Linked DNA regions of Diceros bicornis minor. The protein of the gene in region 2 interacts with the protein of the main gene of each other region in a biochemical or structural test. Links are inferred from orthologs where the notes say so. Each region holds a gene or a part of one and is shown on either strand. Other genes may lie near its edges. The genes, in order: SPN, MSN and ICAM3.

Region 1 (10,484 bases), on a different chromosome or scaffold from region 2:
AACCTGAAATTGGGGCCCTTGGTTTGACAGATCTAAGACAGTTGCGGTATCCCTAAGGGACCTTTGGAGCTCACTTCTGCTGTGCTGGGGCTACAGTTAGCCCAGACTGCATCTTGTGAGGAGGCGGCAAAGGCGCCCAGACGTGGCCCTGTGGGTGCCCATCCTGACTGGCGAGGGGTGGACTTTCGCCCTAGCTCTGCCTGTCCCCATGGACCAGGCACAGGTGGCACAACTCCATGGCGGCCGGGTGGATCCATGACCACTTTCCGCCTCTTCTCCCCCTCATCCCCACCATGAACTGACCCACTAGAGCCCTTTCCCTATCTCCTGCCTCCCCGCCAGTCCAGGCCACATGGCAGTCACACTCCTGCGGTTCCCATCAGCTTGTCTTTTTGTAGGTCAGTCTGTCTGCTCTCGGCCACTGCAACCTCTGACTCAACGACTTCCTCTTTGCAAATTTCCTTTCCCCTGGGGAAATACCAACTGCCGGTGGCCCGTGTGGCCCCCTGGGCTCTGGTCTGGGCAGGACTCAGAGACAGCGCAGGTGGGTCTTGTCCCCTCCTGTCCATCCCAGAGCCACAGGGGAAGCCCCTGGTTCTACAGGCCTGTCACTACTCCTCATTTAGCTCACTCTCATTGATTCCCCTTGGAGAACGGAAGAGGAGATACAGACAAACAAATTAAACATGTCACAGCATCAGCAAGACCCTGCTATTGGGTCTCCTCTCCCCCTGCCTCGTGTTGGAGTGGCAGAGGTTTGAGGAAGGGACACATCTGCTGAGCTGAAGAGCCACACTCGGGTCACACATGCAGTCTTTCTATCAAGCCGGCGTTCTTTATTGGGCTGCAGACAGAGTTTGATCTTCTACTGCCTCCACCCCAGCTGAGCAAAGATGAGGGCACACACGTTCTCAGCGGTTCCTCAGGTTGGCATCTCCTCAGCCTCTGCAGCCCTTCCTGCCTGCCCCCCTCACGCCGTCTGTACTCACCACCACCCTTCACAAACCGCACCCGTGAATGGACCCACATAGGTGCTGGGGCTTCTGAGAACTGCACCTGCTCGGAAACTCCTCTTACCTCTGCCCTTGGGAGGAGAAATAGCTGAAGCCTCTGGCTGCCTCAGTCCGGAGGTGGGGGAGAGTTCAGTGGCCTGGCCCACAGGCAAGCCTAGAGTCCAGGTACTGTCACAGGCACACCTGAGAGCACAGCGAGGTGACGCCACCCAGCCCATGCTCCAGGCTGGCCTGGCACAGAGCACTGGGGCCCAGAGTTAAAGGAGGCTCATGGGCTGACCCAGTAGGACTGTCCTAATCTATGAGTCCAAATGTACTTTCCAGAGTAATCCTAGGGAAGAATGTGCTGGGTTGTCATTTCCTTCTTCCCAGACTCTGGTATCGCTGGGGAATCCTCTGAGAACTCATAGGTCAAGGAAGTTTGGCATTATGGAGAGCCAGTAGCTGGTTTCAAGGACAAAAACATGGAGAAAGAGGTGATTGGGAGAAGTAAGGGTTGATGAGGAAGGCTTATGCATTCAGTCTACAAGTGTTAAGTGGGTGCAGGCCCTGGCCTAGATGCTGGGTGCAGATGCTGGCCGGAAGATCCAAGGTTAAGAAGCTGGATGAGGATTCGGAGTGAAGATGCTGGGTGAAAATCCAAAGGATGCTGGGTGACAATGGGGCTGGAAGTGATGATAGGAGGGAAGGTGATGAAAGCTAAAAATGATTCTGATCTCCAGTCTTGTTATTCACAAGCGCTAAGGGGCCTCCACATCTCTCACTTTTGGCCCACAGAATCGGGGACCTCCACAGCCCCATCTTCGCTGCCGACCAGTGGCTCTTCCTCTCCCTTTAGGCTGGAGGCTGACCCAGGCTTTAGCTCCTCCAGTGCCAAGGAGCCCTCGTGAGACTTCTTTCTACCGAAGAAAGTGGTGAGTGTGGGCCGCCGGCCAGACCCCTCCCCTTCAGGGACCCCAGAGCTCTTGTCGCCCCCAGACACTCTCGTTGTTGCTGTCATGGCCTCCTCATCATTCTCCTGGACTGGCCCAGCCCAGGCATCTACTGCCCCATTGCACTTTCCACCCCTGCTTAGCATCAGGATCCCGGTCCTCCGCTTCTGCCTCCTGCGCCACAGCACAAGTAGTATCAAGAGGACAATGACCACCAGCAGGGCTGCAAGGACAGCCACCAGCAGGGTGCCATTTGTTCCCTGATTTGAGAGCTCACCACTGTTTGCGATTGTGGAGGTGTTTGAGGTAGTCCCGGTGGGTATTTTTACTGCGGAGCTGGGGGAGCTACTGGTCCCCTTGGGGGTCTTCAGAGAGATAGTTGTCATGGCAACAGAAAGTCCACTGGTTCCCTTGGAGGTCTCCAGAGAGCTAGTTGCCATGGTGACAGGGGGTCCACTGGTCACACTGGAGGTTTCCAGAAAGCTAGGTACCCTGGTTCCAACAGTCGTAATGTGGAGGTCCACAGAGCTCATCGTTGGTACCACAGGGCTAGTGGTTTCATTAAGGGTTTCCAGGAGTATTGATGACTTCTTGGTGGAAACTTCCTGGGAGGTTGTTGGCTCAGTTACGGGGAAGCCACTGCTGGCAGCAATGGAAGTCCCGGGAATGGACAGCTCATTGGGTGTATAGGGAATTGAAGAAAGTGGGGAGGTCTGGTACCTGGTGCCATCATCCTTTTCTGAGACGGGGAAGCCACTGCTGGCAGCAGTGGAAGTCCCGGAAATGGACAACTCTTTGGGTGTATAGGGAGTTGAAGAAAGTGGGGAGGTCTGGTACCTGGTGCCATCACCCTTCTCTGAGTCCCTTGTTGTTATAGGGTTGGAGGTCACTGAGTTGAGGTTTGGGGCCTCAGTGTTATATGAGACCAAAGAAATAGGGGAATTTCTGGATGCAGACATCTGCGACATGGTTGTGCTCGCCAGAGTCTGAGAGTTCACCTCTTGGGTCCAGAGGCCGCCAAAGAGGAGGAGAAGCAGAGTCATTTTCATGGCAACAGGCATGAGTAGGAGTTGGGACCTGAGGGTGGGGAAGTTGGAGAAACAGAACACATAAGGATCTGGGGGAGGACCTAACCAGGCCCTCCCCTCCTGCCCACTTCCCTGCCAACTGCCGGGCCTAACTTGAGGTTTAACGGCTTTTTCCACCCTTCCTTTTACTGTTATCAGAAATAACAAGGGAACAGATGCTGGCAGGTCCCCCATCAATTCCATCCCATGGCCCCCGCTCAGGCCTTGACAGCTTGGACTCCAGCAATGGCCATGCCTTCTGGCCTTTCCTGACCCGATTCAGCCCCAGTGGCTCCTGATCCTCTTTTCCCATCACCTATCAGGGTCTTGTCAGGCCACAGGCACGTTCCCAGGTCCACAGAGGCCCCTGCCCCACCAAGTTGCACCCACTTACCAGCTCACTTGTTAAGGGCACAGGGCTGGGGCCAGGTTGCTCCAACTCCTCTTGAAGCTGGGGCGGGACTGAGCGGACAGGGCCCCAGGAGGAAAGGAAGTGGCCCAGGGCTCCACCCACCCCACCCCACCCTAGCATCCTGCTCCACCCGCCCTGTTCCCACAGCTGCCATACCATCTCTTTCCGGAGTCTGAGATGGTGCTAGGGTGTCTGGGGTCTCAGCTGAGGCAGGTGGGGATTGGGGGGATCTAGAATGGGGATTCCTGCGTCTTAGCTGGGGAATGGGATGGCAAGGGGTGAGGCTGGGATAAGGATAGGGGTCAGAGCGGGGGTGATGGGAATGTATGCTTGAGAGCTAAGGGGTGTGGAAGAGGAGATGGGAGGGGGAGGTGGTTTCTTTGCATTTGTGATCCCCAACCTGTTAGGCCAGGAACCAGGGTGGCACTGCCCCAAAAGCTCCCGGGAAGTACCAGGGCAAAAGGAAGCCCCCGACTCTGGCTGGGGGCAGTGAAAGCCTTTTCAAGCTGTGTGTGATCCCTGAGGAGCTCTTGACAACTTCTCAAGGAGCTGGGGGTCACTACAATAGCCCCCAGTTGTGGACTGCATAACTAACTCAAGGTGGTAACTAAGCACTGCATACACTATGATCTTATTTTTGTAGAAGACTAATAAAGATATGGGAATCTACATGGAAAACAGTTTGGAAAGACAGTTTCCAGTCTGACAGACTGGAAAGATGGAAGCAGTCTGGAATTAACCAAGTTTCTTTGGATAAGTATGAGTACTTTATTGTCTTCTCTAGATGGTTGCTCTTTCCTGACTTTCCTCTAATTTGTAAGCTTTGACTTTTGGTGTGTGTATGGTTTTTTGGTTTTGTTTTGTTTTGTTTTTTGCCTTTCTTTAAAAAAAATCAAAACTGATTTTTATATTATAAAAGTAATAATACATGTATGTGATGGATGATTGAAACAAGCCAGTGTCGGAGCCCGGGATCGTGCCCACTCACAAGCCGAGTTAGTCTGACACAAAGACATGAGACCCCGGGTCAGAGACACAGGAATCCATTACTCACCGCACAGCAAGCAGTAAGAGCATTATGTTTGCATTAGTTCCCCCTGCCCTCAAGTCCCACAGGGGTGACACCGAGGGGCTTATCCCACAGCTGAGGAACACTGAGCTTGGGGACTTTCCCTCCTTCCGAGCAGGTGGGAAGCAAGCCTGCTGTTTGTCCTGAAGGGAGACGTTACTTCATCCCTCAGAGTTACTCACTGCAAACACCACCCTGAGAAATGGCCTGGATATGGAGCGGCCAGGACCTTGCATTCTTTGCCTACTATCCAGAGTGTGCAGGGATGCTCAAGGCTGTGGTCCATTGCTTCTCCCAGCAGTCAGGAGAGTATAAAGTGAAAGGCTCCATACCTCCACCACCAGAGAGACACTCCGTAACAGTGGCTGGTATATGCATACGTGCATGTATTTTATTATATTAGATTTTATTATACATACTGTTCTGCACTTTTCTTTTTTTACTGAACAAAAGAAAGAAAAAGAAAGGAAGAAAGGAAACCATTCCATTGTCAGATATTTAAGTTGTTTCAACAATTTGCTACTGTAAACAGAAAAGTAGGAATAATTGGCTGCAAAGTAATTGGAGGTTAAAACAATTTTTTCTAATTCTAGAAAATCGGCAAAAATGTTCATAAGACTGCACAAAGGTCCCCAATTTCCCAATCTTTAAAAAAATCATTGAAGCAAAATTCATTTTTGACAAAATTGTCGTTTCAACCAAATTGCTGCTGACAGAGTTGTATGTTCCTCAGGCTCTCTGTCAGGCCCCGACTCTGGGAAGAGCTGAGAGGCTGTGGATGGGTCCAGGCTCTGGCCTGAAGCACTCAAGAAACAGGGTCTGACCGGACAGACTGTAGAGCCTGGAGTGGAAAGAGAGAGGATGAAAGTATGAACAAGGGGCTGTTGTTGCCCTCAAGACATCACAGAAGACCAATACTTAGAAAACTCTGGTAGCAGTAGCCACGGACTGACACTCACCGTTTACCAGGTCCACAGCCGAAGGTTCTCTGTGTGTGATTCCAGCCGCTTCTCACGGCAAGCCCATTTCACAGGTGAGGAGCCAAGGTACAGAGAGGTTAAGTTACCTGCCCTCGGCGTTCAGAATGGGCCAGACTCAGTGCCAAGCACTTTACATTCCAATAGCATTTACTTTTCAGAACAACCCTGTGAGATACCTCTCATTACTCTAATTTTACAGGTGAGGAAACGGAGGAACAAAACAGCTAAGAGACTTGCCAAGGCTCAGACAACCAGCAAGTTCTAGAGATGAGCTTCAAAACCAGGTTGATGTAAGGGCCCAAGGCCAAAGATAAATATCTCCCAGATAGTACCAGTGTCTGATATTTAATTACTATGCTCCATTTAGAGACATATTTGTGTATTAATAATTCAAATAATAGAATACTTGCTAAAATACGGGCTAGATTCAGCCTTAGAGAGTGTCTAGCAAAGACTTCAGAGAAGCAATGTCTTAAAAAGCTAAAGGGAATAGGGACTCCTCTCCTCTTATACCCTACATGCAATCTGTCTGTAAATTCTGCTATCTCTACCTTCAACATGGGGCCAGCACCTGACACCCAGATCTTGGCTTCTAAATTCCACTCTCCTTGGAGAGGAACCAGGACTCCTTGGAAAATGGCTGATTCCAGGCTGGGGCAGGGAAAGCACAAGATGAGGCTGGAACATCTGTTGCATCAGATATTAAGGAAGTCCTCACAGAATGATGGGAAGCTGTCAAAAGGACAAGGAACCAGCTTAAAAGAATTCCCTCTGGCCAAAGCAGGGAGACTTTGAGCATCAAAACGAATAATGGCATTTTGGATTAACACCTTGAATAAAGAAAGAACCTAGGAGCTCATACTGATTCTGAAAATATTAGAGAGAGACATAGAGTGAAGGAGGAAGCAGGGGAGGTGCAAAGGAGGAAGAAGAGCAGGAAAAGTTCTTTTACAATAGAAAAGCCAGCTAATAATTGTAGAAGGAATGTAGAGTTTAAAAATGACCAGTTTACAATCACAATAATAATAATGGATTCAGCTAAGAATGGGTGTTAAAACCATTCAGTGAAAGTTGGGTGACAAGGGGGGTGCAAATAGGATATTTTTATAGTTTTAAAGTATCTCCCCACAAGATATGTTTTCATTACCAAGGAAAAGTAGCAACTTTACAGTGGAGAAATCTAACGGACACCATCTTAACCAAGTGATCAAAGTTAACATCACCAGTAATGGGGCAAACCAACATCAGGTGGCTCCAGATATAATGTACTGAGAAGGACACAACATCACTTCTGTGGTAATCCTAGCAAAAAATGCAGAACCTGAATCCAATTGTTAAGAAATATGAGGCAAATCCAAATTGAGGGATGTTTTACAAAACACCTGGCCTGTAGTCTTCAAAAATGTCTGTGTCAGGAAGGACAAAGAAAGTCTGAGACATTCTTCCAGATCTTGAAAGAGTAAAGAGATGTGACAACTGGATACAATATGGGATCCTGGATTAGATTTTGGGTTAGGAAAAAAAAAATGCTATAAAGACACCATGGGGATAATTGGCAAAATTCAAATACAGACTGTAGAGTAGACAATAGTACTGAATTAACATTAACTTTCCTGGGCCGGCCCGGTGGCTTAGCAGTTAAGTGCACGTGCTCCGCTACTGGCGGCCCAGGTTCGGATCCCGGGCGCGCACCGGCGCACTGCTTCTCTGGCCATGCTGAGGCCGCGTCCCACATACAGCAACTAGAAGGATGTGCAAGTATGACATACAACCATCTACTGGGGCTTTGGGGAAGAAGAAAAGGAGGAAGATTGGCAACAGATGTCAGCTCAGAGCCGGTCTTCCTCAGCAAAAAAAGGAGGATTAGCACAGATGTTAGCTCAGGGCTGACCTCCCTCACAAAAAAAAAACACAAAAAACATTAACTTTCCTGAATTTGATAAGTATATTATGCTTATGAATGTCCTGGTCCACAGGAAATACATGTTTGAAGTATGTAGGAGTGAAGGTGCACAATGCAGCAACTTCCTCTTAAATAGTTCCACACAAATAATAATAATAATAACAATAATAACATAGGAGATAAAAATAAAGCAGATGTGGCAAAATGAGGTAGTGAAGGAGCTTCCTGGTTGGCGAACACGTGGAGATGAGGGGGGAGTGGTGCCCGTGGAGAGAGCATGGAAGCTCTGCATACCTTGCCCCATACCTTGCCCTCTGCATCTCTTCCATCTGGCTGTTCCTGAGTTGTATCTTTTTATAACAAACTGGTAATCTATTTTAACATTTTTTTAATTTAATTTTTTTTTTGCTGAGGAAGACCGGCCCTGAGCTAACATCTATTGCCAATCCTCCTCCTTTTTTACCCTAAAGCCCCAGAAGATAGTTGTACATCACAGTTGCACATCCTTCTAGTTGCTGTATGTGGGACGCCGCCTCAGCATGGCCGGAGAAGCGGTGTGTCGGTGCGCGCCCGGGATCTGAACCCCGGGCCACCAGTAGCGGAGCGCGCGCACTTAACTGCTAAGCCACGGGGCCAGCCCCTAATATATTTTAACATTTTTCTGAGCCATCATTTTCCTCTATTTAGCACCTGACCTGATATTTGAGAAGAGCTCAACCATGGAATGAAAAAGCAGGAATGCGTGGCTTGCAAATCTTAATTCTCTTCTCAGGTGCTCATAAAAGAAGAAAGAAAGGCCTCTGGTTAGTTAGCCATTAACAAAAAGGCTGAATGGGGTCATCATATTTCCCAAAAGTCAAGAACAAAGAGGATCCAGACAGCCTTCTGAGAACTACGGAGTTTTTAAGATGTATCCAGATGCCATACCGAAAATGTAATTCCACCACCCATCTATTATTTGCTTAGGCGTATAACGGGACATGTTTATTTAGAAAAAAAAAATAGGTAGTGAAACCATGTAAAGAACCTGTGTGTGTTCGTTGTATTATTTTTGCAACTTTTCTGTGTTTGAACTTTTCAAAATAAAACCACATACTAAAAGATAGAAAGATCCAGAACCTGACTACTCTTCTCCACCTTCACTGCTGCCCCTCTGGCCCAAGCCTCGTCTTTCCTCACCTGGAATGTGCACCACTTCCCCTCTGTGTGACCTCTCCTCCTTCGGGATCTTTTTCACAGAGCAGTCAGAGGAGCCTGGATCAAATGTCCGACCTATCCCTCCTCTGCTCTGAACCCTGAGACAGCTCGCACCCCACTCAGGGTAAGAGCCCAAGTCCTCACAATGGCCGATAAAGCCACACCCCATCTGACTCTCCCTCCCTCTCCTGCCCTCATTCCCTTTGCTCCTGCCACCCAGGCCTCCACTTTGTCGCTGTAGAATACAAGCCTTGGGGGCCTCCGTGCAGTCTGTGGTCCCCTCAAATGATTACCTGCTCAGTATGGCTTTGCCTGGCCACCATATTTAAAATTGTGCCTCGTCCTCCTGGCCTGCACGCCCCATCCCCCAGCCCTGCTTTCTCTCCACAGCACTTCCCACTTTCTCATATACCGTGTCATTTACATTCTTGTTTTGTCTTTCTGCCCCCACTGGAACGTAAGCTCCCTGAGCACATGCGTGTGTGTCTGCTGGCTGCTGTGCTTGGTGCACAGTAGGCGCTCAGTGATGTTTATTGGCTCAACAGAGGTTCTCTGGCTGAGAGAAGGAAGAGGGCATCAGGCTGAAGAACTGCCAGCACCAGTGAAGGCAAGGAGGCCTGAGAGGGGCGAGGCGGGGGTGGGAGGCTGTGAGCAGTGGGTGTGCCCGAGCTCTGAGGGCGCCACCCAGCCCACAGACCTCCAGGGGGTCATCGGGGGTCATCAGAGGTCATCAGAGGTGTGCATGCTCAGTAGTGATGCAACCAACTTGTGTTCTGTGAAGGTATTTCTTCCCTCCAGGCCTGCTCCCCACCAGGGTTTGGACTTGCAGCTCTGACCTCCTGCAGGTCTTTGAGGGGCTGTTTCCTGCAGACACCAAAGCACACAAGAGCTGGCGGAAGGGGGCCTGCCCCTCCCTGCCCCTAGGCCCCAGCCCAGGGAAGCCACAGAAGAGGGGTCAGGGCCACCTGAGCTGCATCACCTACTGTCTGAGTGGCCTTGGCTCAGTCATTTCATCTCTCTGCCTCAGTTTCTTCATCTGTAAAATAAGGATAATAATACTACTTTCAAAGTTCTTGGAGGATTAAATTAGATAGTGTGGGGCCCTTAGTAAGAGCCTAATAAGTAATAGCTGATGTAATAAGAGACGAGTTGTTAAGTCTCATTCTGATCCTCCAGGTCAGAACCCAGGGCTACAGGATTGGACTGGCTTCAGGGCCTAGGGCCCTTTCTTCTCATCCACAACCCTCTCGAGGAACAGCACCGACAAGGCGGGCAGCCCTGTCCTCTGGGGAAATTTCCATCTAGTCAGAGAGATGTTTATGTACTAATTTATTCACTGAACATAATTTTTTTCTTAATTTTTATCAAAGTAATGCATATTATGAGCACAGAGGGCTTATCATGCACGGTAGTACTCCTCCCCTCTCCCTCCCAAGTCATGGCCCAGGAAGGGAACCACTTTTAATTCTTTTAACTTATTCTAGTTTCACTTCTTCTGGTGAGTCCATATTCCTAAACAAGATGTTAATTCTGCTATTTTTTGATGTGTTCATTTTGCCTGCCATAAGCTACTCGGCTCCAGCTCTAATAGAAGAGCATTTGACCCACTGGCCCCATCCCACCTCCCAGGTCAGCAACTTCCCTCTTTTTAAGCCCATTGTAAACTAAAACTAAAGTTGTTTTTGTTACTTTAAATAATAGCTCTCTATGGTCATGTTCAGTATCGGTGTCAGGCGCAGCTAGCCGCACGGTAGTTAAGGGAAGAGGCTCTGGCGCCAGACTTCCGGGGCCAGCCCCAGGCTCAGTCACTGAATGCGTAACCCTGGGCAACAAATGAAACCTTCCTGTGTCTCTGGTTGCCCATCTGTGAGGAGAGGTTAACACTAACAGTATCTACCCGGCGGCCTTGTC
Region 2 (10,638 bases):
GTGTGCCTAATATTAATACAGTTGCCTCATGACAACCTAGAGAGACTGAGGGCCTAAAGAAAAGACTTGCATAAAAGCCCACTTCATTTCGATCATTTTACTGAGGAAAGATGTTCTTCTTATATGGAAAGAGAAAAAGAGAAATCTTCAGGTCAGTGTTACTTGCCATTTCCCAACACCCACCTTCCAAATCAATGGAGTCCTGAGCTAACCCTCCAAGTGACCACTCCTGTACCACAAATCAGAACCTGGAATTGAAAAGTTTTTCAGCTCTATCAAGTGTGAAATGGGAGGAGGGATGAACAGCAAAGCCAGTCAATCATGACAAGACTACCTCCTTCACTTGACCAATAGACTGCTCCAAAGGAGACCACCTTTGTACTATGTTTTTTCTTTGGGGGCAGAAGAGTAGGGTGAGGTAGCAGGGAAAAAAGATTGTGAGTTGAGAAATATACATGATAGTACAAATAGCACATGATAAACTCAGTTCTATCTTTGAAAGATCAGAAACAGACTGTTCCCAACCTCTAATGATGCCAATTTTCAGCCACTCTAACCACGAAAGGCGTAACACTTGTAGTATTGGTAGCCAGATCTTCTCCCCTCTGAGGACCTTGAGTCTAGAAATTCTAGTGAGGGGGACTCTGAGGAAGATACAAAGGGACCCAGACAGACTGTTGCCAAGCAACACTATGAGATCAGAGTTCAGAATAAATGTAGCTGTCATCTCATCTCATCCAGAGAGAATTGGATTTAAAGGCAGGGAGACAGACCAGATCACCTCTAACTGTCTCTTCTAGTTCCATCATTCAATAAAGCAGTCTCCTGAGAGGAGGAAGAGAGAGAAAAGGGGGAACACTCTTAAAACAAGCTATTGTTACAGGCAGCTAGAGAATAATGGAGAGCAGACTAGGGGTCAATACCACCTCTGCCACCCACTCAACAGAGCAACTTTCCTCTCTCCAAGCCTAACATGAGAGATACATAGATTAGTTGGTGCATTCAAGGATCCCACGAAGGCCCTCCTGCCCCACCAGCCTATCTCTGCACAAAGGACTATTCAAGGAGAAACTTAAAGGAAATCCCCAAGATGGTTTCCGCTCTGTTTCTATTATGTACACTTTCACAAAGAGCTGAGTGAACTGGAGAACCAAAGTGAAGAGATGCAGGATCAAAAAGTCACCCTCTCTCACATAACCTCCATTCCTGATCCCTTGCCCCACCCTGAAGTCTGTGGCAGGGCTGGTTCAAGGGTTAAAAGACTTGAGATTCTGCCTCCTATTCACCAAGTACCAATTTAGTGCCACTCGAGTGGCACAAGCAACGCTAGGAATGGCAGGAAAATAAACAGTCCACACAACCCTTGTTATAAAGTTTAGCTGAATGAAGACCCAGAAACTTGCAAATATTTCAAGAAGCTGGGCTCTATATCTGCTCACATGGATAGTCCCATCAATGACCACTTGATCACCTTTCCCCTGACCTGTTGAGCTAGGGCTAAAACCCTATCAAATTGAAGAAGTTTTACCAAGACTGACCCTCTAGCTAAGACCTAGATTCAAGTCCTAGCTTTGCTACTGACATACTGCATCATTCTAGGTCAGTCCCTCCCACTTTGTGGGTCTCAGTTTCTTCATCTATACAAACCAAAAACTCAAGAACACCTTGAAAATTCAAAACAATCTCTTTTTAGGGAATCCAAGAGAGTACCAAAGACTTTGTGATCTAAAAAAAGTTAAAAAGGATGGGGACGGGGAAAGATTTTTTTTTACAACTGTCTTACCATCACCAGAAAGTGTAGATGGCAGTTAATAAGCTTCTCCATTCTGGCTACTAAAACAGACTCAGGAAACTGGCAACTAGAAGCAAAATCCAAGAATTGGTGGGGAGGGGTGCAGAGGGGCATATTTTAACAGATTTAAGGGAGGCTGGGCTGACTAAGGGAGACAATTGGCTATAAAAGTGAAACCAACCCTGGATAGACTGTAGACATGGTTCATATGAACGAACACATTTGCTTCTTCCACTACTCTTTCCTATCTGTCATACTACAGAAATAGCCTAAAGCACACTAGCGAAAAAAGGAGAAGAGACTAAAGGAATTTTCTCCCTCCATCAAAGTTACTAATTGGTATGCAGTGAACTAGGGTGTGCCCCTGGATGCCTAAGGAATGAAAAAAGTAAGAGGAGACACCTTGTAATACCCTCAACTCTCACCAGGAGACCACACAAATGCCAATGTTGGTTACTTTGCCCAAATTATCCACTTTCTTTTATCTGATGACCAGGAAGCTCTGAGAACAGGGTGTAATTTGCTTTGGGCAAGAGAGGGGACTCAACTTCATGAACCCAATCATTGAATCAGAATAGAGGGTCAATGGGATGAGTACCAAAAAGCCTGGACCCAAGTCTTGGTTCTGTCCTCATGTGCCCTTAGGTAGGTCCTTTCCTATAGGCCTAAATATCCCCACTAGTTAAAAAAACAAAAAAAAGAGTTGTACTAGAGAGTCTCTGAGGTCTCTTTCAGGTTAAGATTCTATGCTCCTAACAGGCATAATATAGTTATTTATCCTAAAAGTTGACCATTCCTTGAGCCAAATATCATGGAAAATTCTCCAAAGTTTCCAGTCTATCAAAATTCAGCCCTTGCCTTCCAATTTGATTCATACTTCAGTCAATCTGCATAAAAATACTTTCAGTATTCAGGTACCTTTAATACCCTAGGTCTGACTTCAAACAGCTCATACTCCATTCTGTCTCCATACCCAGGAAAAAGATCATCATGCTTTCGTCTTTGCCACTTTTCACTGAAATGGGATGGTTAAGGCAACTTTGGAACAATTTCCAGGCCCATCAAGTTGCGTTGAAATGTGAGGTATCTCAGAATTGAGAATGAAAGATGCCATTAGAGAAGAGAGGTCATGGGGCAGAGTCTGTTTTCAGAGATCCACCCACCTATTTAGGCAAAGCCACACCTTAAGAGGAGTCAAGGAGTCAACCACAGGGAGATAAACCCAAAGAGAGGCTCCTGGAAGGATCTTTATAATCCTCTGTGTTGGCAGAGACAGTGGGGTTTTTTTTCCCCTCTCTTTTCAAAACCATTCTCTCAGTTTGTGTGTGTGGGAGGGAGGGACAAGTGTGGAAAAGCCCCACATCATAAAACTGTGAGCAATTTAAGAGATGGTAGAAGCACATACTTGTTGAAAACTTGGTGTTTCTGAAGGACGAGGTTCTGGAAAGGCAAGAATGACTTGGCAGTAAGGGTGGAATACAGCAACGTGGCAACCAAAGCTCAGCACACACCCAAAGAACTGGGCCCCCTACTCCTTCTCTCCTCCAAGGACCCTCAGCCATTCTCAAGGCTACTAGTCACTATCTCAGACTAGGGAGAGGGGTCCGGGAGCACTGCATAGCCTAGGCCAGTGCAACAAGCTGCTTGGCCTAAGGGACTCAAGCCAGGGGGGTCACCAGGCCTTCCTGAGCAAGGGAAGGGCCCCAGCGGCCATTTGGCATGACTTGCACAAAAGCAAGCAGGGCTCATTATTCAGGCACACCCCTCCCCCGTCCCTCCCTCCTGGGCATCCGGCCCCACTAGGCACTACTCCCAGGAGGCTTCTGCTCTTCTCATAACAGCCAGTGGGGTGGAGACCAATCCTAGAAGCTACCACCACTCTGGAAAGGTGTGGCCCCACAGGAGAGAATCCACATATCACACAACAGTCCGGAGGGGATAGGAGGAGACAGAGAGCCATTAAGAAATGGGAAGGGCAGGGATTTGGCGAAAGGAGAGGAGGAAGAAACTAGTCTTCTCCCCTAGGAAGTAGGGCAGACCTCTACTCAGTCTCATGTCTAGTGAAATGTTAGAGCTCCTTGGTTAAAGCAAGCAGCTTCGATGAGTCCCTCCACAACTTTCTCCTCCCCTCCTAGTGAGAAACAGCTGGAGCCGCCTGAGGAGGCTGTAGGAAAGGTGAGTGGGGGTGCGGGACCCGCCCTGAGCAGCTCCCTCCCTCCTCCGTGCTTCTTGGTCCCCGTGGCCCCTCCTGGACAGTGACAGCCTTGCCCCAGAAAGGCGCCAATTCCTGGACTGGAGGAAGTGTTCTCCGGACCAGAGTCCTCTCCCCTGTGCCCATGGCCCGTCAGGGGCAAGAAGAGACCTCGGGCTCCCAAGCAAGCCTTCCCTATTGTGTCATCCCAGACGCACGGAACTGGAATCTGAGAAAGAGGCCGTCCCCGCTCCGTCCACACTTCTAGCCCGGGACCCCCTTACCCACGAAGGCGCGCCAGACCAGTACTCCACTCCCGCCCCTACCCACACCAGGCCTTGGCGGAGGGCGCGGCGTCCCGAGCGGGCGGGTGACTGGGCAAACCCCCAACCGTCAGCCATGGGCTACAAGGGTCTGCTAGAACCCCCGGGCCCAGCAGCACCCACCCCCAGCACTCACTGTCTTGGGCATGGTGGCGGCAAAGGCGGTGGAGTTGGCGAAGTTTGGCTGGGCGCTGTCAGGGCAGCGCTGAGCACGCAGTACACACGGCTTGGACTCCGGGGACTGGGGATTCGGATTAGGTCCCTCGCTAGCGTCGGTGCGACTGCTCGGCTTCCTGCTAACGGGCCACGACTTCACAAACTCCACCCAGGAAAGAACCGCCCCCGTCGCGCCACCCTCTCCTTTATGTGACGGGACTTAGGCGCTGCTCCCCGCCCTCGCGCCCGCCTTCTTGTCCGCTGCCAGCCTCGCCCCGCCTAGTCCCGCCCAGCCCAGCTGAGCCAGGCCACATCAGCCGCCTAGGGACCAGAGTGGGCTTGGGCGCCCCAAGGGAGCTCCCACCCCCGACCCAGGCCCACCCTGACCTCGCACCCCCTTCACAGACCCTAGCCCTCCTGGCCATCCGGTCCCCCTCCCAAGCAGGGCCGGACCCTGGGCCGCACTCTGGCAGAGGCTTAAGCAGTCCCAGACTGCAACTTTCCGCTGATGGTGAGCTCACTACCTATTATAACTGCGTGTTCCCGCTCAAGACTCTTAGAAAGTTCTTCCCGTGTGTATCTGAACTCCTTTTCTCTGTGGCTTCCGCCTGTGGATCTCAGCTCTGCTCCCGGAGCCACACAAATCCCCTGCTGTCCCTAACAACTTCTCAGAGGTCTGAAGATCCCATGTCCACCTGAAACTTTTCTTCTCTTGGCTCAACTGCCTCAGCTCCTCCAACATTTCATCCACTCACTTCTGTAGGACTCTATATCCCTTTTCCCACCATATTTCCTCCCCATCATGCTCAATCCTTACTTTCATCAGAATTGGGCTCCTTTTCCCCATATCTGTACTCTAGTCACTTTCCTTCCTTCAAATCTCAGTCTCCACCTTCTTCAAATTAATGCCCTGATTCTTTAGCCTCTCCCCCAACACATTCACTGATTTTCTGTGATTCACTTTTTGATAAGGCTATAATTCCCCCAGGTTAGATGCACCCCCAGTCCACTCCCTTGGGATGTGTCTGCCAGCGTCCTTTCTACTTCTTGTCAAGGTCGCAGAATTACAGAGCAGCAGTGTTCTAGACCGTAGCAGTTATCTTTTAAGTCTGAGTTTTAGTTTGAAAGTGACTGGCCATAGTCGTTTTTTTCTCCTATCCACTAGCAGCTGTGTAGAGGCATGGTCTGAGCATCCTTTGTGAGGTGGAGTGCCACATACCTCAGGGATGATGAGCCAACTTGGGGCAGTGGAAATGATATTAGAGAGGGGTGATCAACACACCTGGCTTCTGATCACCATAGCTTTGTCATTAACTCACCCTGTGACCACTATGTGGCCTTGGTAAGTCCCTTCCCCTTTCTGGGCTTGAGTTTCCTGTTCTGTAACAAGAAAGGGCTGGACTCCTGGGCTTCCAAGGTTCTTTCCCACTCTGACATTATAAAAGGACAAGAAAGGAAGTAGACTCGCTAAGACAATAGATGAGTCTAGCAGGGTTGCATAAAGCCTGGCCTTGCATTTGCACTCAGGAATCAGCAGCCCTATTCCGTGCTCCTCTGCTTTCCCAGCTCGACAGTGTCCATGAGTCAATGTGCCTCAGTTTCTCTCACTGCTGCCAAGCCTCATTGATGTGTGCTAGGGTAAACGAGGGTGCCTGCCCAAATCATTTCCCTGAGCTGAGTGGTTGACTCAAGGAAGAGCAGCACTCCTCAAAAAGCCTCAGCAGCAGGGGTAGCAATGCCAACCAATCACATTCCTTGACATTGCTATGGTCCTTTTCTCCCAGAAGTTCAAAGAACTCACTGATTTCCTCATTCATGTTCTCCTAGAGCCCACAGGGGCCTGGAACTAGGCTAAATGCCTACAGGGGGAAGGAAAGTTAATTAGAGACTCCAGCTTTCATTATTTATTCTGGAAAGTGGAAACCCCCTGTATGTCATTCCCACGTGCCCATGCCAATACCACCCCCCGCAACAAATATACAAGAGAGCTGATTAGGGAGTGACAAGTAGATGAATACACTATTCAAAGGGAAAAGTGGCACAGGAGTCCAAGTGGGGAAAGGGAGGTTAGAGGGTGGGGAAGCTAAGGAAGTTGATGGAAAGACAGGCTGGGAGAGGATGGTTTTGCCCCCCTAGGGAGGAGAAGAGTGGGAAATGGGTGGAAAGCATAGACTATGAGAGATAGCTTAATCCAGCCCCCATTCAAGTCAAGGGAACTGAGGATCAAAAAGAGCAAAGGACTTACCCAAGACCTGGCAACCAGTGTGGGGAATGGATTCAGGGGGTAATAGAGAAGACAAAGAGCTCAGTTAAACTGTTGTGATAATACAAGCAAAACATTTTGCAGGCTAGAACAAGGGGAGTAGTGCCCCCTCCCCCACTTCAGCAGACGGAAGCTGGTTATGGTGATTATGGTCAAGCTGCTGGACATTGCTCGAAGGTTAGACTTGAAACCCCCTGACTAAGATGGACCCATCTCAATTATTCACCTGTCTCCAGAGCAGAACAGAGGCAGCTGAGGTGCTCTCTTGTTCTTCAAGATGGCTGACAAAACACTCCTTTGTTTCCTACCTCTTTGTAAAACACTTCATGCCTATATGGTCAGAACTTCTGATCTCCCCCGACCCCCTACCCTGATCCCATGAGAGTTAGCTCAATCTTACTGGGGCCAGAGTGATCCCCACAATTAGGTTTTCATATGATGAGGTTTATGCCAGTGTTTGGACAGGGAAGACATGGGAATAAGGGCTAAGCATTCCCACACATGTTGGCACCCTGGGTGAGGGAAGTAAAAGGTATGAAGACACCTGTGTTTTTAGAAGAGCTGAATTTGGAAAGTTCAAGGAGGAACAGGCAAGTATTTTTCAAGCAGTAAAGCTAGGTGAGGGCCAGTATGAGCAGAGAGTGGTACAGGGGTGTTCTGGAGCTGGAATCCAATGAAGCTAGGAGCATCTAAATCAGGGAGTAATAAATGCAAAAGGAGAAGATTTGACCTGGGCTTTAGGGTCAGACATGGGGTCCAGGTGGAAAGGCTCAGGATCCCTAGGGGGCTTGGACTGTTCTGGAGCTGAAGTAAGTCTTGATGTCAAAGTCAAGGGAATGGCAAGCAACAACTGCATAAAGCTGATTAATGTGAAAGCCTACACCAAGCTCAAGAGAGAAATGAGATTGGACTTCTAATCACCTCCCACCCAAGATCTAAGCTCACTGCAATAAAGAAGCTTCTGCAGTCTAAATGTCATTCCTTCTTCAGAGGACACAATAGTGCAGGAGAGGCAATACCAGAGAAGAACTAAGTAGGGAACCATCCTGAATCCCAGGGTTGCTTTGGATAAAAAAGCACCCTCACCTCAATCCATTGGATGGTAGCAGTTGAAAGTTCCCCATCATTCAGAACTTTTCTGAGGGCTGCTTTTCATTTTCATCACTATTAGAAAGTCCTTCTTTACATCTAAATTAGATCTCTTTTGCTTCACTCAGCACAATTGCTCTTGGCTGATGCTTGAGAAAGGAATTAACTAAACCTCTGAGGTTACTCTTCTCCTCTATTCATAGAAGAGAAATGTGTCAGAGAGATGAGGACAAACAGTAGCTTGAGGCCACACACTCTGAGGCCTTCTCTCTCTCTTCTTTCCCCTGGGTCAGTAGGCCAAACACTAGACTAGCTGTACCCTTTACACAAACAAGAAAATAGGCAGAAGAATATAGTGATGTCTCCTCAAAGGGAAGAGGTATTCTTGGTAAAATATGACTAAGAGTACAAACTGAAGCAGTAGAGAAATCTTGCTTTTAGCCGTCCTCAATCTTCCACCCTCTTCTTGGAAACAAAAGCTAGGGTTTGGGTGAAAGAGGAGAAGATAACAGTAATGAAGCACTTATGTGCTGAGCAGTGGAGAGGCCATTTCAATATCTAACAAGAACCATTAGAGGTAGAAATGAGGAAATTGAGGCTCTGAGGAGTCAAGTGACTTATCCAAAAGTCACATGGTTTGGTGGTGGTGAAACAGGGATTTGGGCCCAGGTCTTGTGAGTCCAAAGTCTACCTTCTTTCCACCAACCTGACCTGTGAGCTTCTCAGTTCCGAGCCATGACCAGACAAACCCGAGGAAGGAGATGCCTTTTAAGATTCGTATCACCCCTGCATCTCAGTGGTCAGAATAGACAGCTCAAAATAGCGGGTGCGTAATAACAAACAGCAGTGATACAGTGTCTTGCCAATATCAAGTACCTGGGAATATTTATTATTAATCATACTAATGGAGCACAGTGAGAGAGAAGAGTGTTTCCTCTCTGGCTTTTCCTCTAATAAGGCTGAAAGCTTTTCAAGAGCTTCCCCCAGACAGCCAATATCAATTCAATTTGAGCCAGTGTCCTCTTGGAATATGAAATTAGCCCTGCAGAAAGGGTCTCCCAGCCCTGCCCCCAGTAACCAGCAACCAGTGACCAGAGACTACACATATGTGGCCAGTCTGCCTGCAGGGCCCAGAGAGAAAACAGCCCACTGAGCATATGGCCCCTTCATGAACGACCCACAGTTCAAACTCAATACACCTAGAAGGAAACTATCCATCTGTCCACCCCACCCGTGCCTCCCACGGTGACCAGGCGCCTGCTAGGTGCCCGGTACTATGTGAGGCTCTGCAAGGGGTGCTCACCCTCTGCCTCCCCAGGAGCTCTCCTTCCCAATAGCTCTATATCTGTAGGTGATTTTGCTGTTAGCACCGTCCTTTGTGTGCACAACATCATCATCTTTAACTCTCCTCTGCCTGACCCCTGTGATCTGGTCACCAAGCCCTGCTCTCTGTCTGTCCCTCACAGCTTCTCTCCCTCCCCTCTCCACTGCCAGTGCCCTAGGTCAGCCTTCACCAACTCTCCCTGGTCTCCCTACCTCCGGGCTGCCCCACCCAGGCCATCCTCCACATGGCCACCCTCCACACGGGCACTACAGTGATCTTCAGAAATGCAGCCTTCACCTGCACTCAGAGTTATCAAGTGACCCCCTGTGCCCAACACACACACTTAACCTTTACAGCCTTCTCTTCCTCCCACAGCTCCTCGGCACAGCCCTTCCCCTTGAGCCAGGCTACTCTCACCACATGCACATGGCACGGCGTGCTCGCTCTTGTCTCTGCACAAAGCCCTCTCTTGATCTCTCCTGCCCTCCTTTGCTCTCTGCCTCTCCCCAGCTCCTGTAGTGCCCGAGGTCTGCAGTGCTCATCTGGCCTCCCTCCCACATCCTGCTTTGTCTTGTCAACTGCTCCTTTTTTTTCTTTTCCTCCATTCCAGGCTGAGCTGTAGTTGCTCCTGGAAAGGGATCACACTTTGTGTTCCAGGCAGAAGGAGCCCAGCACACTTCCAGGCATATCTTTGGAGCTCAGGACAGGTGGTTCAGCTAGACCAGAGGAAGAGAGGGATCTGCCATTCTCATGCCAAGCCCTGCAGGTCTATCAACTTGTATTATGTCCAATTCTCTAAGGGCTCAAGTTCCCTCTTACACTGCCTCAAGTTTTCCAGTTAGGAGACAAGACCAATGGAACAGAGCCTCCTATTCCTATCTCGTTACTCCTTCTCCCCCTACTCACGACTCACTCTCACTCTTTTCCTCTCTATCTCTTTCTGTGTGTGTGTGTGTGTGTGTGTGTGTGTGTTTGTGTGTGTTTGTGTGCCAGCTCTGCTACCAGGCTACCTTAGGGAAACACTCTACTGTGCACAAAGAGGCATTTACAAGGACATTCACTGCAATACTATAATAATTAAGGGAAATAACCTAAACATCTATCATAAGGGGTTTGATTATATACATTATGGTATATCCATACAACGGGATGCTGTTCAGCCTTTTAAAAGCATTAACTACCGTGAAAAGCATTTTTTAAATTTACTATGAAGTCACAGAACAATATGAATAGTGTGATACCATTTATGAATTAAAATGTCATGTCTTTATACATGTTTGTAAGTCCCCAGAAAAGGGGAAAGATTCACAACAAATTGATACCAGTTGTTATCTCTGGAGAGGGGACCTGGATTAGAGAGGAGAGTAAAGGGAGAATTTATCTTCTTGATATATGTATTTCTATATTATTTAATTTTTTTAATAAGTCTGAATTACTTTTGTAATTATATAAAATGATAAAAAAAAAGGAAAGATGAGTAGGAGGAGGAAGAAGAGGAAT
Region 3 (10,933 bases), on a different chromosome or scaffold from region 2:
GGAGGTCTCATACAGCCGTAGATGCCCCTTTCTCCATGACACACTCATTGCCCCCAACCAGGGTCCTTCTTTCCCAGGATACCTTGCGGCCTGAGTCACCCCCTTCCCAGGACACACTCACAGCCTTCTCAAAGGTTCCCGCGCGGCCGCGGGCCTCCCGTCTGAGGTGACCCCGCCCAGTGGCCAAGGGCATGTTTTCCCAGAAGCTTTGAGGTCCGAGCCACTCTATTCTCAGGAACCCCGCGGCCAAGGCACCCCTTTTCTGGCTCAGCTCATACCCATTGTCTGCAGTCCCTTCCCTCACCGAAGGTTCGGAGCTGCCTGGGGGCCGAGCTGTTCTGGAACAGTCCCAGCCCTCGGGGCCGCAGGTCCAGTTCGGTGCGGCACGAGAAATTGGCGCCGTGGTCCTCTCTGCGGGCCAGCACGGTGGCGTTGACCTGGGTGGCCTCCCCCACGGCCGGCTGCCGGCTCAGCTCCTCCTCCCCGCGGAGCAGCACCACCGTGAGGCTGGCGCGGGGCGCCCCGCCCGCCACCTGGCAGCTCAGCGTGAGGTTCTCGCCCACGGGCTGCCAGGGGGGCAGGGGGGCCAGCTCCACGCGATCAGGGAACCCTATGGTGGGGGGGGAAGAATAGCACTTACCAGCCAGCCCTGCAGCCCCCACCCTAGGGAGTGGAGAGGAGCCGAGGGTGGCCTGCCCAGCGTGGAACTGTGAACTTTGAATTAATAAACCCAGAGGGCTTAAGTCCCTGCCAGGATAAGTGTTTGCTATTGTCCTTAGGATCATGATTATTTCCTGTTTTGTCAGACACCTTGCCAGGCACTGAAATAAAAGTCAGATGTTCTGTTCCCCAGAACCTCACAGTTAAGAAAAAAAAAAAAAAAAAGGAAGAGGAGGTAACGTTTATGACTCCTTTATGAGGTTAATAGTAATCATCAAAATTCCTGTGTATTGAGAGCTTTTCTTAAACTTTCCAGATGTCATCCACCTTCATTCACACAGCAGCCCAGTGAAATCTCCTCTATCATCCTTCCCTTTTACAGATGGAGAAACTGAGCCCAGAGAGGGGAGGTGGTTTGCCCAAGGATGCACAGCCAGGAAGGAGCAGAACTAGGGTTAAAATCTGGGTCTCACAAACTCCAGACTCATGTGTCCACTTGCCTCCTTGATGTCACGTCTAGGGACTCCTCTGGCCCCTCCTCCCAGCTTCTGGCCTGGACTCCGCTAACCTGGGGTACCACTCGTCAGGGCTAGTGGTATGCTGATCATGCCTGGGCTCTCAGGGTGGAGCAGGGGAGCCCTGACCTGGAGCATCTGCCAATTTCTCCCATGGAAATACTCCCACTCTGGCGGATTTCAAGCTACCCAGTGTGACACGGAGTTGGGAATAGATAAGCACAGTGGGGTCTTATGAGCCAGGACCAACAGGCTCCCGCAGAGCACAGACAGAGGCATCTCAGACACGCAGAGACAGGGACACACAGACACACACATAGACACGCAGGTACACACAGGCAGATGTACACGTTACAAAGAAATACACACGGATACAAAGACATACATAGACACGTACTGACACAGACATCCACATATGCTCATACACAGACACAGATATTGACACAGTAACTCACACAGACACACACATAAGTTCATAGGCATTCACAGATACAAACACAGGCACACACAAACATACAGACACAACACATATACAGACACACGTACACTCACACAGACACATACACTCGCGGACACACACGTAAGTACACAAGCACAAATATACCAGCGCACACACAGGAGCCTACGCGATTACACACGTACACTACACTTAATCTCAAGGCTTCCCAAAACAGTAGGCACCGTGTTCTCTGCTATTTCCTAGTCTATTGTATTCTTTTAATGTGTTTTTTTTGTGTGTGTGTGTGAGGAAGCTCAGCCCTGAGCTAACATCCGTGCTAATCCTCCTCTTTTTGCTGAGGAAGACCAGCTCTGAGCTAACATCTATTGCCAATCCTCCTCTTCTTTTTCCCCCAAAGCCCCAGTAGATAGTTGTGTCACAGCTGCACATCCTTCTAGTTGCTGTATGTGGGACGCGGCCTCAGCATGGCGGGAGAAGTGGTGCGTCGGTGCGCGCCCGGGGTTCCGAACCCGGGCCGCCAGCAGCGGAGCGCGCGCACCTAACCGCTAAGCCACGGGGCGGCCCTGTTGTATTCTTTTAAATGCAGAGGAAGTCTGGAAGGATCCATAAGAAACCAGTAACAGGGGGACGCAGAGTCTGGAGAGGAAGACCTAGCCTGTTACAGACAGGGATTTGCGAACCAGACTGCCAGCTGCTCTGCTCGTGGGCTGTGAGCGCTGGCACGTGACTTGACCCCCCGAGCCTCGGTCTCCATATCTGCAATGAGGCTCATAAGAGAACCTCCCCACCCCGGGGCTGTTGTAAGGAGTGAATAAGTCAACATTTAAAACAGTAGCCACAGGGGCCAGCCCCATGGCGTAGCAGTTAAGTGCACTCGCTCCGCTGCTGGCAGCCGGGGTTCGGATCCCGGGCGTGCACCGACGCACAGCTTGTTAGGCCACGCTGAGGCGGCCTCCTGTATGAAGGGGAGGAAGATGGGCATGGATGGTTTAGCCCAGGGTCAGTGTTCCTCAAGAATAGACGGGGAGGATTGGCAGATGTTAGCTCAGGGCTAATCTTCCTCACGAAGAAAAATAAAACAGCAGCTGCTGGCAGCCAGCGCTATACAAATGGAGGCTTGAAATTTACAGCTTTTTATGCTGTTTTGATTTTGGAACCACATGAATTGATTACCTGCCATAAAAGTAAAAGTAATAACTAGAAGATGCGAGATGTCATTTTTGTGTGTGTGTGTGTGAGGGAGATCAGCCCTGAGCTAACATCCATGCTAATCCTCCTCTTTTTGCTGAGGAAGACCGGCTCTGAGCTAACATCTATTGCCAATCCTCCTCCTTTTTTTTCCCCCAAAGCACCAGCAGATAGTTGTATGTCATAGCTGCACATCCTTCTAGTTGCTGTATGTGGGACGCGGCCTCAGCACGGCCGGAGAAGCGGTGCGTCGGTGCGCGCCCGGGATCCGAGCCCGGGCCGCCAGTAGCGGAGCGCGCGCACTTAACCACTAAGCCACAGGGCCGGCCCAAGAGATGTCATTTTAAAAATGCTTGCTAGGACCCAAATAAATTGATGTCACAGCTGCTGGCCTGACATACAGTTGAGGTGTATCTCTCTGTGTCTCTGTCTCTACCTCTGTCTGTCACACACACACACACATATCCAGGTCCAGGCTCTGGGTCAGAGCCCTGGTCCATTCCTGCAAACTCCAGGCCTCTGCTCCCCCTGCACCACTGGCCATCTACCCACCCCCCCGCCACCACCCAAGGCCATTCCTCCCTCCAGGCACGTCCACTCACGGTACACTGTGATGTTAGAAGAGGTTGACAGCTGGAAGCTGTAGCAGAAGCTGGAGCAGAGGATCTGGCTGTCATTGGTTACATTGCTGAGCTGGAAGGCTGCCCAGCGCGAGCCCTGACCCAGCGACTTCTTGGGTAAGAAGGTCTCCAGATGGAAGGATTGAGGATGGGGACAATCTGTACTACAGTTTACCGAGATGGACCCTCCATCAGGTACCACTAGGTCCTGGGGCTCAAATCGCAGTGAGTACTGCCCATGGACACCTGCGGGAAGAGACAGAAACTCTCGTGATTGTTCTGGTGCCCCCCAACCCCCCATCCTCAGGTCCCACCTCATGCCCAGGTATAATGGTCCCCGCCTTCAGGGTGCGTTAGTCTAGTGGGGAAGACGGATGATGGATCAGGAACTGGGGAGAGTTTGGAGGAAGGCCAAGGAAACCCTGATCCAAACTACAGGAGGGAGTGAGTCAGGGAAGGCTTCCTGGAGGAGGGGACGACCATGGCCAGTTTTGAAGGATAAGTAGGCGTTAGCTAAATGAAAGGGAAGCAAGGTCTTGGCAGAGGGAAGAGCATAGGCACACATCGAGGGGCTACATGGAGCTGGGAGAGTGTGTGTGTGTGTGTGTGTGTGTTGGGGGTAGGGAACAAGTTACATGCAGGGATGGCGCCTCGGGGAGCCCTGGAGGCTGCGTTAAGGAGACACAACTTTCTCTCGAGCCCCTGTCGGATCTGAGTTTCAGGAAGTCCTCGAGATGGCCAGGGCACAGGAAGTGGAGAGCTTTGCTTTCTCTGTTCTCTTACCCTCTCTCTACTGACCTCCCGACTCCAGCCTTCCCCAGCTTGACTCTCCTCACCTGCGGGCAGCAGACAGCCGATGAGAAGCAGGAAGACGAGCGACATCCAGCAGGCCCCAGGCAGTCGCCCTGAGGGCATCACAGTAGCCAGCCTGCGGGAGGAAGGCGTCTGGCAGCAGGGAACAGGCGGAGCCGCCCAGGGGACGGAAGTGCAGCCACAGTGGTGAGGATTGCAGAAGTCCAGGGGCTGCCCCTTGCTCAGGCCTGGGGAGGGGCAGGGGGATACTCTGTGACCCCGGGGGTCCAGAGTGGGGGACCTAGGTAGGGCCCAGCAAGGTGGAGGGTGCTGGTGAGTCTCTGGCAGGGCAGACGTCAGTTACACTGCTGGTCCAGAAATGAACTCACAGGAAGTGGAACACAATCAACTTCCTTTGTTCTCAGAACTACGAAGCCTGGGGGGGCCGTGGAGGGAGATGAGACACCTCCTTCCAGCTGAACTTATGGGGGACCTCCAAGCACTGTCCTGGAGGTGATAAGATGAGATTTCAAGGCAACATTTCAGGGGGAAATGAAGGGACTTCTAGGTAGGGCCTCAAGGGGTTAGCATGAGATCTCAACATTCCTGGGGGGCAATTAAGAGATCTGGGGATGATAATGAGGGACCCGTAAGATGAGGGAAGCCATGAAAATGAACAGCGCCCACATTTACTGGGTGCCCAGCTCTGTGTTGACCACCTGAGTGGCTCCTGTAGGCCCTTTCCCTTTGAAGATCTTGGGGCCGCCCATGCCCCGTGTGCAGTGCTGAGGCAGGGAGACAGCTGAAATCTGAACCACTGTCTGTCAAGGATGCTACTTGTAACTGGCCCTGTCCCCTGTCTCATCCTCCCTTGCCTTCCCCTCTGGGCAGCTGGTCCTTTCATCCCAAGAGAAGGGACTGGGGGGTCAGGTGGGCACTCCCACTTCCATCTCTCAGGCCTCTGACCCGCCTCCTGTGCCTCTGATCTGAGCTCCAGAGAGGGACCTTGTGGAGGGCGTCGATAACACCCGGCGTTCATCCACTCTCCCCATCCCTGAGGCCACGCCCCCTCCTGCCTCACCTGGGGCACCTCCCCCCTCCAGTCAACTGCCTGGCCCCCCAGTCCATTTCCTGCACGGTGCTGAGAGAGCAACTAAAACCCAAATCCAAAGTATTTGTAAATAATATATCTGATAAAGGCTTATATCCAGATTATAAAGAAATTCTTACAAGTCAATAACAACAAAACAACCCGATTCAAAAACGAACAAAGGACTCGAATAGACATGTCTCCAAGGAAGCTGTACAAATGGCCAATAAACACACGAAAAGATGCTCAACCTCACTAGCTGTAACCACAGGCCCTCCAGGACCAGTTCAACTGACCCCATCTCATCAAGAGTAATTGAGAGTGGTTTTTCAGGACCTGAGACCCCTTGTGCAGTTCAGGCTGGTGAAGACCACCAGCTCATCAACTGGGCTTGCAAGGATGACCCATAGGTGACCCTTTTGACGTCCAAGGGCTGAAAACTCCACGCTCAGATCATGCTACCGCCACTATTTTGTGAACATGAAGAGCCACGGAGCTTGACCGCGCTTGCGCAGATCATCAGTTACCTCACCTCTGCTCTCCTCCAACCATCTATCTCTGCGCTTCAGACAGCCCCGCCCTTCATCCCATGAATTGTGCCCCAAGCCCTGGATTGGGGAGACAGATCTGAGAACACAGGCCCCTGTCTCCTTGCAGATCAACCTAGCAATAAAGCTGGTGTCTTTTTCCCAAAGCTGATGCCTCAGTAATTGCCTCTTGATGTGCTTCGGGCAAGAGGACCCCAATTTTGTGCGGTAACATAGCCATTAGGAAAATGCAAATTAAGACCACGTGAGATCGCTCTTCACACCTATTAGGATGGCTGCTGTCAAAAAAAAAAACAACAGAAAAAAAGTGGTCCATCCATTCACCCTTAAAAAGAAATGAAATTCTGACACGTGCTACAACATGGATGAACCTTGAGAACATCATGCTCAGCGAAATAAGCCAGACACAAAAGGACAAATATTCTACTCAAATGAAGACACTAGAATAGCAAATTCCTAGAGAAAGTAGACAGTTGTTACCAGGGGCTGAGAGGAGAGGGGAATGAGAAGTTAGTGTCCAGTGGGGACAAATTTTTGTTTGGGAAGATGAAAAAGTTCTGTAAATAATAGTATTGATTACACACATTGTGAATGTTTTTAATGCCACTGAATCATACACTTAAAAATAGTCAAAATGGTAAAATGTATATTATGTATATTTCACCACAGGAAAAAAATGACATCCACCTATTTTGATTTGTATCCAAAATATGAGATGGATTGATGGATGGCAGAGAAATGACAGATACCGCATAATAAGGTAAATTTAGCAACTGGGTGATGGTGGAATTTAGAGATGTTTGCTGTACTATTCTCCCAACTTTTCTATATGTTGGCAATTTTTCAGAGTAAAATGTTGGAAAATAAAATGCATCCCTGATGGATCTGGGTGGCTGTTCATGTCACAACAGGAGGGACAAGCTGACCCTGAGTGTCTCCTGCGGAGAGGGCACAGTGCCCTCTGTGAGTCTTGCCAAAAAATGGAAATTGAACTTGACCATTGGTGGGTCAAGGTGAGGACAGAGGAATGCATTCAAGTCGACCACAAAGATGACGCCACAGCGGAAAAGTCTATGGAACAAACAACCTAGTTTCTTCAACAAGGATGTTGCAAGGAGGAAAAAAAAGAGGAAGACGAATCCAGAACTTAAAGGAACCCGCCCTCCGCCAAATGCAGTGCGTGGATCGTCTGGATATTTCTTTCTTTTTTTTTTTTTGTGAGGAAGATCAGCCGTGAGCTAACATCCATGCCAATCCTCCTCTTTTTGCTGAGGAAGACTGGCCCTGAGCTAACATCTATTGCCAATCCTCCTCCTTTTTTTTCCCCAAAGCCCCAGTAGATAGTTGTATGTCATAGTTGCACATCCTTCTAGTTGCTGTATGTGGGACGCCGCCTCAGCATGGCTGGAGAAGCGGTGCGTCGGTGCACGCCCGGGATCCGAACCCGGGCCGCCAGTAGCAGAGCACGCGCACTTAACCGCTAAGCCACAGGCCGGACCTGGATATTTCTTTGAACAAACTCTAAACAAACACACACCAAATATTTAAGAGACAATTGGGGAAATTGAAACTGAGGCTGCACGATGATGTTGAGGAATTATCATTCAACTTTCTGTGGGCGGTCATGATTTTGTAGTTACTGTTTGTGGTTACATCTTTTCGAGATACTGATGGAAGTTTTGACAAAATGATATATCTGAGATTTGCTTCAAAATGACCTCGTGGCGGGGCGGGGGTGGGGGAGAGTTGAAACAAGACTGGCCACGGGTGTTGCAAACTTGATGCCGCCTGTTGGGTAAGCACAGGTTCATTACATTATTTTCCCTTCTTTTGTATATGCTTTAAATTGTCCGTAATTGAGGCCGGCCCCATGGCTTAGCGGTTAAGTGCGCGCGCTCCGCTGCTAGCGGCCCGGGTTCGGATCCCGGGCGCGCACCAACGCACCGCTTCTCCGGCCATGCTGAGGCCACGTCCCACATACAGCAACTAGAAGGATGTGCAGCTATGACATACAACTATCTACTGGGGCTTTAGAGAGGAAAAAGGGAGAAAAAGGAGGAGGATTGGCAATAGATGTTAGCCCAGGCCAGTCTTCCTCAGCAAAAAGAGGAGGATTAGCATGGATGTTAGCTCACGGCTGATCTTCCTCACAAAATAAATAAATAAATAAATAAAAAGTAGCTGCACAAGGGTAAGCCAAGATAACTTTGGGGAAAAAAAAGAGAGAGAGAGAGAACTGCCTTATCAAATATCAAAACATATTCTAGGGGCAGTGTATTTTCCCGGTTACCAGACAAGATCCTAAATGCCATTCCCATTGAGAATTTTTTTTTTTTTATGAGGAAGATCAGCCCTGAGCTAACATCCGTGCTAATCCTCCTCTTTTTGCTGAGGAAGACCGGCTCTGAGCTAACATCTATTGCCAATCCTCCTCCTTTTTTTTTTTTCCCCCAAAGCCCCAGTAGATAGTTGCATGTCATAGCTGCACATCCTTCTAGTTGCTGTATGTGGGACGCGGCCTCAGCATGGCCGGAGAAGCGGCGCGTCGGTGCGCACCCAGGATCCGAACCTGGGCCGCCAGCAGCGGAGCGCACGCACTTAACCTCTAAGCCACAGGGCCGGCCCCTCCTGTTAAGAATTTGTCCTACAGATACCCTTGAACGTGGGTGAAATGATGTCCGCATGTGGTTACTCACTACAGCACCATCCTGGGCCTGGCAAAGGATTAGAAATGACAACAGGAACCCCAGCGGGGAATAAAGGCAGATAACACGTCAGCGATGACTACAATGAAATCATAAAATAGAACAAGAAAACTGTTTGCCTGGATATGTGGGACCATCTCCAAGACCTATTACATGGAAAAAATAAATCACAAGGATATAGATGAGAGCTCTATATAGTAGGACATGTTACTATTTTTGCAAAAGATGGGAAAGTATAATGTGTACAGATTTCCTTTTATCTGGGTAAAATGTCTCTGGAAACAAAAACAGGAAACCAGAGGCGACAGTAGTGGCTGATGCACAGCGAGAGACTTTCACTGCCTAAGTCAATAATATGTATCCATGGGCCAGCCTCGTGGCCTAGTGGTTAAGTTCAGTACCCTCTGCTTCGGCGGCCTGGGTTCTGGGGTTTGGATCCCGGGGCCAGACCTACTTGTCAGCCATGTTGTGGTGGCGTCCCATATACAAAATAGAGGAAGATTGGTACAGACGTTAGCTCAGGGCTAATCTTCCTCAAGCAAAAAAAGAGGAGGATTGAGGCCGGCCTGGTGGCATAGTGGTTAACCTCATGTGCTCTGCTTCAGTGGCCTGGTGTTTGCAGGTTCGGATCCTGGGCACAGACCCACACACCGCTTATCGAGCCATGCTGTGGCAGGCGTCCACATATAAAGTAGACGAAGATGGGGACAGATGTTAGCCCAGGGCCAATCTTCCTCAGCAAAAAACAAAACAAAACAAAACAAAGATTTATAATTATAATGAATATTTAATTTTGAAAACTGTTATAAAAAGCAAATGTCACTAGAATAGTGTGGAACTGTCTGGTCAGGAGAGCTGGCAATGAGCAAGATTTCGAGAAGGCTTATGAAAAAGGAAATTATTTAACTGCCTTTCACAACACGGCTAACACATAGCCCGTGCCTTTCACAACATGGCTAACACATAGCCCGTCTCTAGTACAACTGGTAAGGAGAAACACTTCAGCAAACACCAGATTAACAATAATATCAAATGTTTATTAAGCAATTGTTTGCATGTCTGTCTGCTAAGCATTTGACATAAATGACCTCATTAGTTCTTTCCATGAGTCCTGCGAGGTAGCAAGATGACCGTCCCCAGTTCACAGTTGAGAACTGAGGCCCAGAGAGGGGATGCCACTTGCCTGAGGTCACACAGCGGGGAAAGAGTGAAATTGGCTGGCTTATCTACACGGCACACGGCCCCCCAAATCTTTTGTTGGTATATTTAACGACTGGTTATTTGGCACCTTCTGTGTTCTACGTGCTGGTCTAATTGCTAGCTGGTCATTTAGAGATGAGCAAATGTTTAATTGTTGAATCTGGATCCTTCTGCATTGTCTTGCTCCAGCTGTGGGCCCCAGGTGAGCAGACACTCACTGAAGAAGCGGCAAGGACCACAGCCTTCAGCAGCAGAACAGAGTCATGGGTCACTTAGTGACAGCGAGACATGCATCATTAGGTGCTGCCATCGTTGTGTGAACGTCATAGGGTGTCCTTACACAAACTCAGATGGTACAGCCTACTCCACAGCTAGGCTCCATGGGATCACCGTCGTATATGCGGTCTGCTCATTCACTGGAACGTCGTTATGCGGCGCCTGACTGTATGAGCTTATGGCCAGCTGATGGAAACGGTGAGCCCTGAGGGGATGGGCCAGGTAAGGCAAAAAGATGGGATCCAAGGGCTCCTTGCCTGTCCTGGGTCCCTTAGGGGCCTGTGTCAGGCTCATGATGACGGAAGCTGCATCCCCTCAAAAGTCATACATGGAGGCGAGGGAGGGCAGAAAGGGTAAAGGGGCACGCGTGTATGGTGACAGACACAACTAGACTTTTGGGGGTGAGCACAACGCAGTCTATACAGAAGTCGAAACATAACGATGTACACCTGAAATTTATATGTTATAAACCAATGTGACCTCAATAAAAAAAAATTCGCAGCTTGAAATCCTAATGCCCGATGTGATGGTATTAGGAGGTGAGCCTTGGGGCTGGCACGGTGGCGCAGCTGTTAAGTGCTTGCGCTCCGCTGCGGTGGGCCAGGGTTCGCAGGTTCGGATCCCGGGTGTGCACTGGCGCACCGCTTGTCAAGCCATGTTGTGGTGGTGTCCCATATAAAGTAGAGGAAGATGGGCACGGATGTTAGCCCAGGGCCAGTCTTCCTCAGCAAAAAGAAGAGGATTGGCATGGATGTTAGCTCAGGGCTGATCTTCCTCACCAAAAAAAAAAGAAAGAAAGAAAAAAGGAAGTGAGGCTTTGGGAGATGCTTAATTAAGTCAAGAGGCGAGAGGGGGCTGGCCAGTGGCACAAGCGGTTAA

What was found.
Region 1: the proteins of MSN (region 2) and SPN form a complex in vitro, tested with the Homo sapiens proteins (2 studies listed by BioGRID). The link is inferred for Diceros bicornis minor from reciprocal best matches to the Homo sapiens genes MSN and SPN.
Region 3: the proteins of MSN (region 2) and ICAM3 form a complex in vitro, tested with the Homo sapiens proteins (2 studies listed by BioGRID). The link is inferred for Diceros bicornis minor from reciprocal best matches to the Homo sapiens genes MSN and ICAM3.

What each region holds. Positions count from the first base shown.
Region 1 is NC_080765.1:21,570,539-21,581,022, reverse strand, and holds SPN (leukosialin), read right to left. Parts: upstream 3,492-10,484; 5' UTR 3,407-3,491; intron 3,023-3,406; 5' UTR 3,007-3,022; coding exon 1,774-3,006; 3' UTR 1,767-1,773; downstream 1-1,766. Other genes in the region: QPRT (nicotinate-nucleotide pyrophosphorylase [carboxylating]), read right to left, coding at 1,078-1,231. UniProt on the Homo sapiens protein: Predominant cell surface sialoprotein of leukocytes which regulates multiple T-cell functions, including T-cell activation, proliferation, differentiation, trafficking and migration.
Region 2 is NC_080781.1:59,306,194-59,316,831, reverse strand, and holds the start of MSN (moesin), read right to left. Parts: upstream 4,635-10,638; 5' UTR 4,455-4,634; coding exon 4,443-4,454; intron 1-4,442. UniProt on the Homo sapiens protein: Ezrin-radixin-moesin (ERM) family protein that connects the actin cytoskeleton to the plasma membrane and thereby regulates the structure and function of specific domains of the cell cortex.
Region 3 is NC_080769.1:8,853,264-8,864,196, reverse strand, and holds the start of ICAM3 (intercellular adhesion molecule 3), read right to left. Parts: upstream 4,629-10,933; 5' UTR 4,359-4,628; coding exon 4,280-4,358; intron 3,690-4,279; coding exon 3,426-3,689; intron 611-3,425; coding exon 305-610; intron 1-304. UniProt on the Homo sapiens protein: ICAM proteins are ligands for the leukocyte adhesion protein LFA-1 (integrin alpha-L/beta-2). ICAM3 is also a ligand for integrin alpha-D/beta-2. In association with integrin alpha-L/beta-2, contributes to apoptotic neutrophil phagocytosis by macrophages.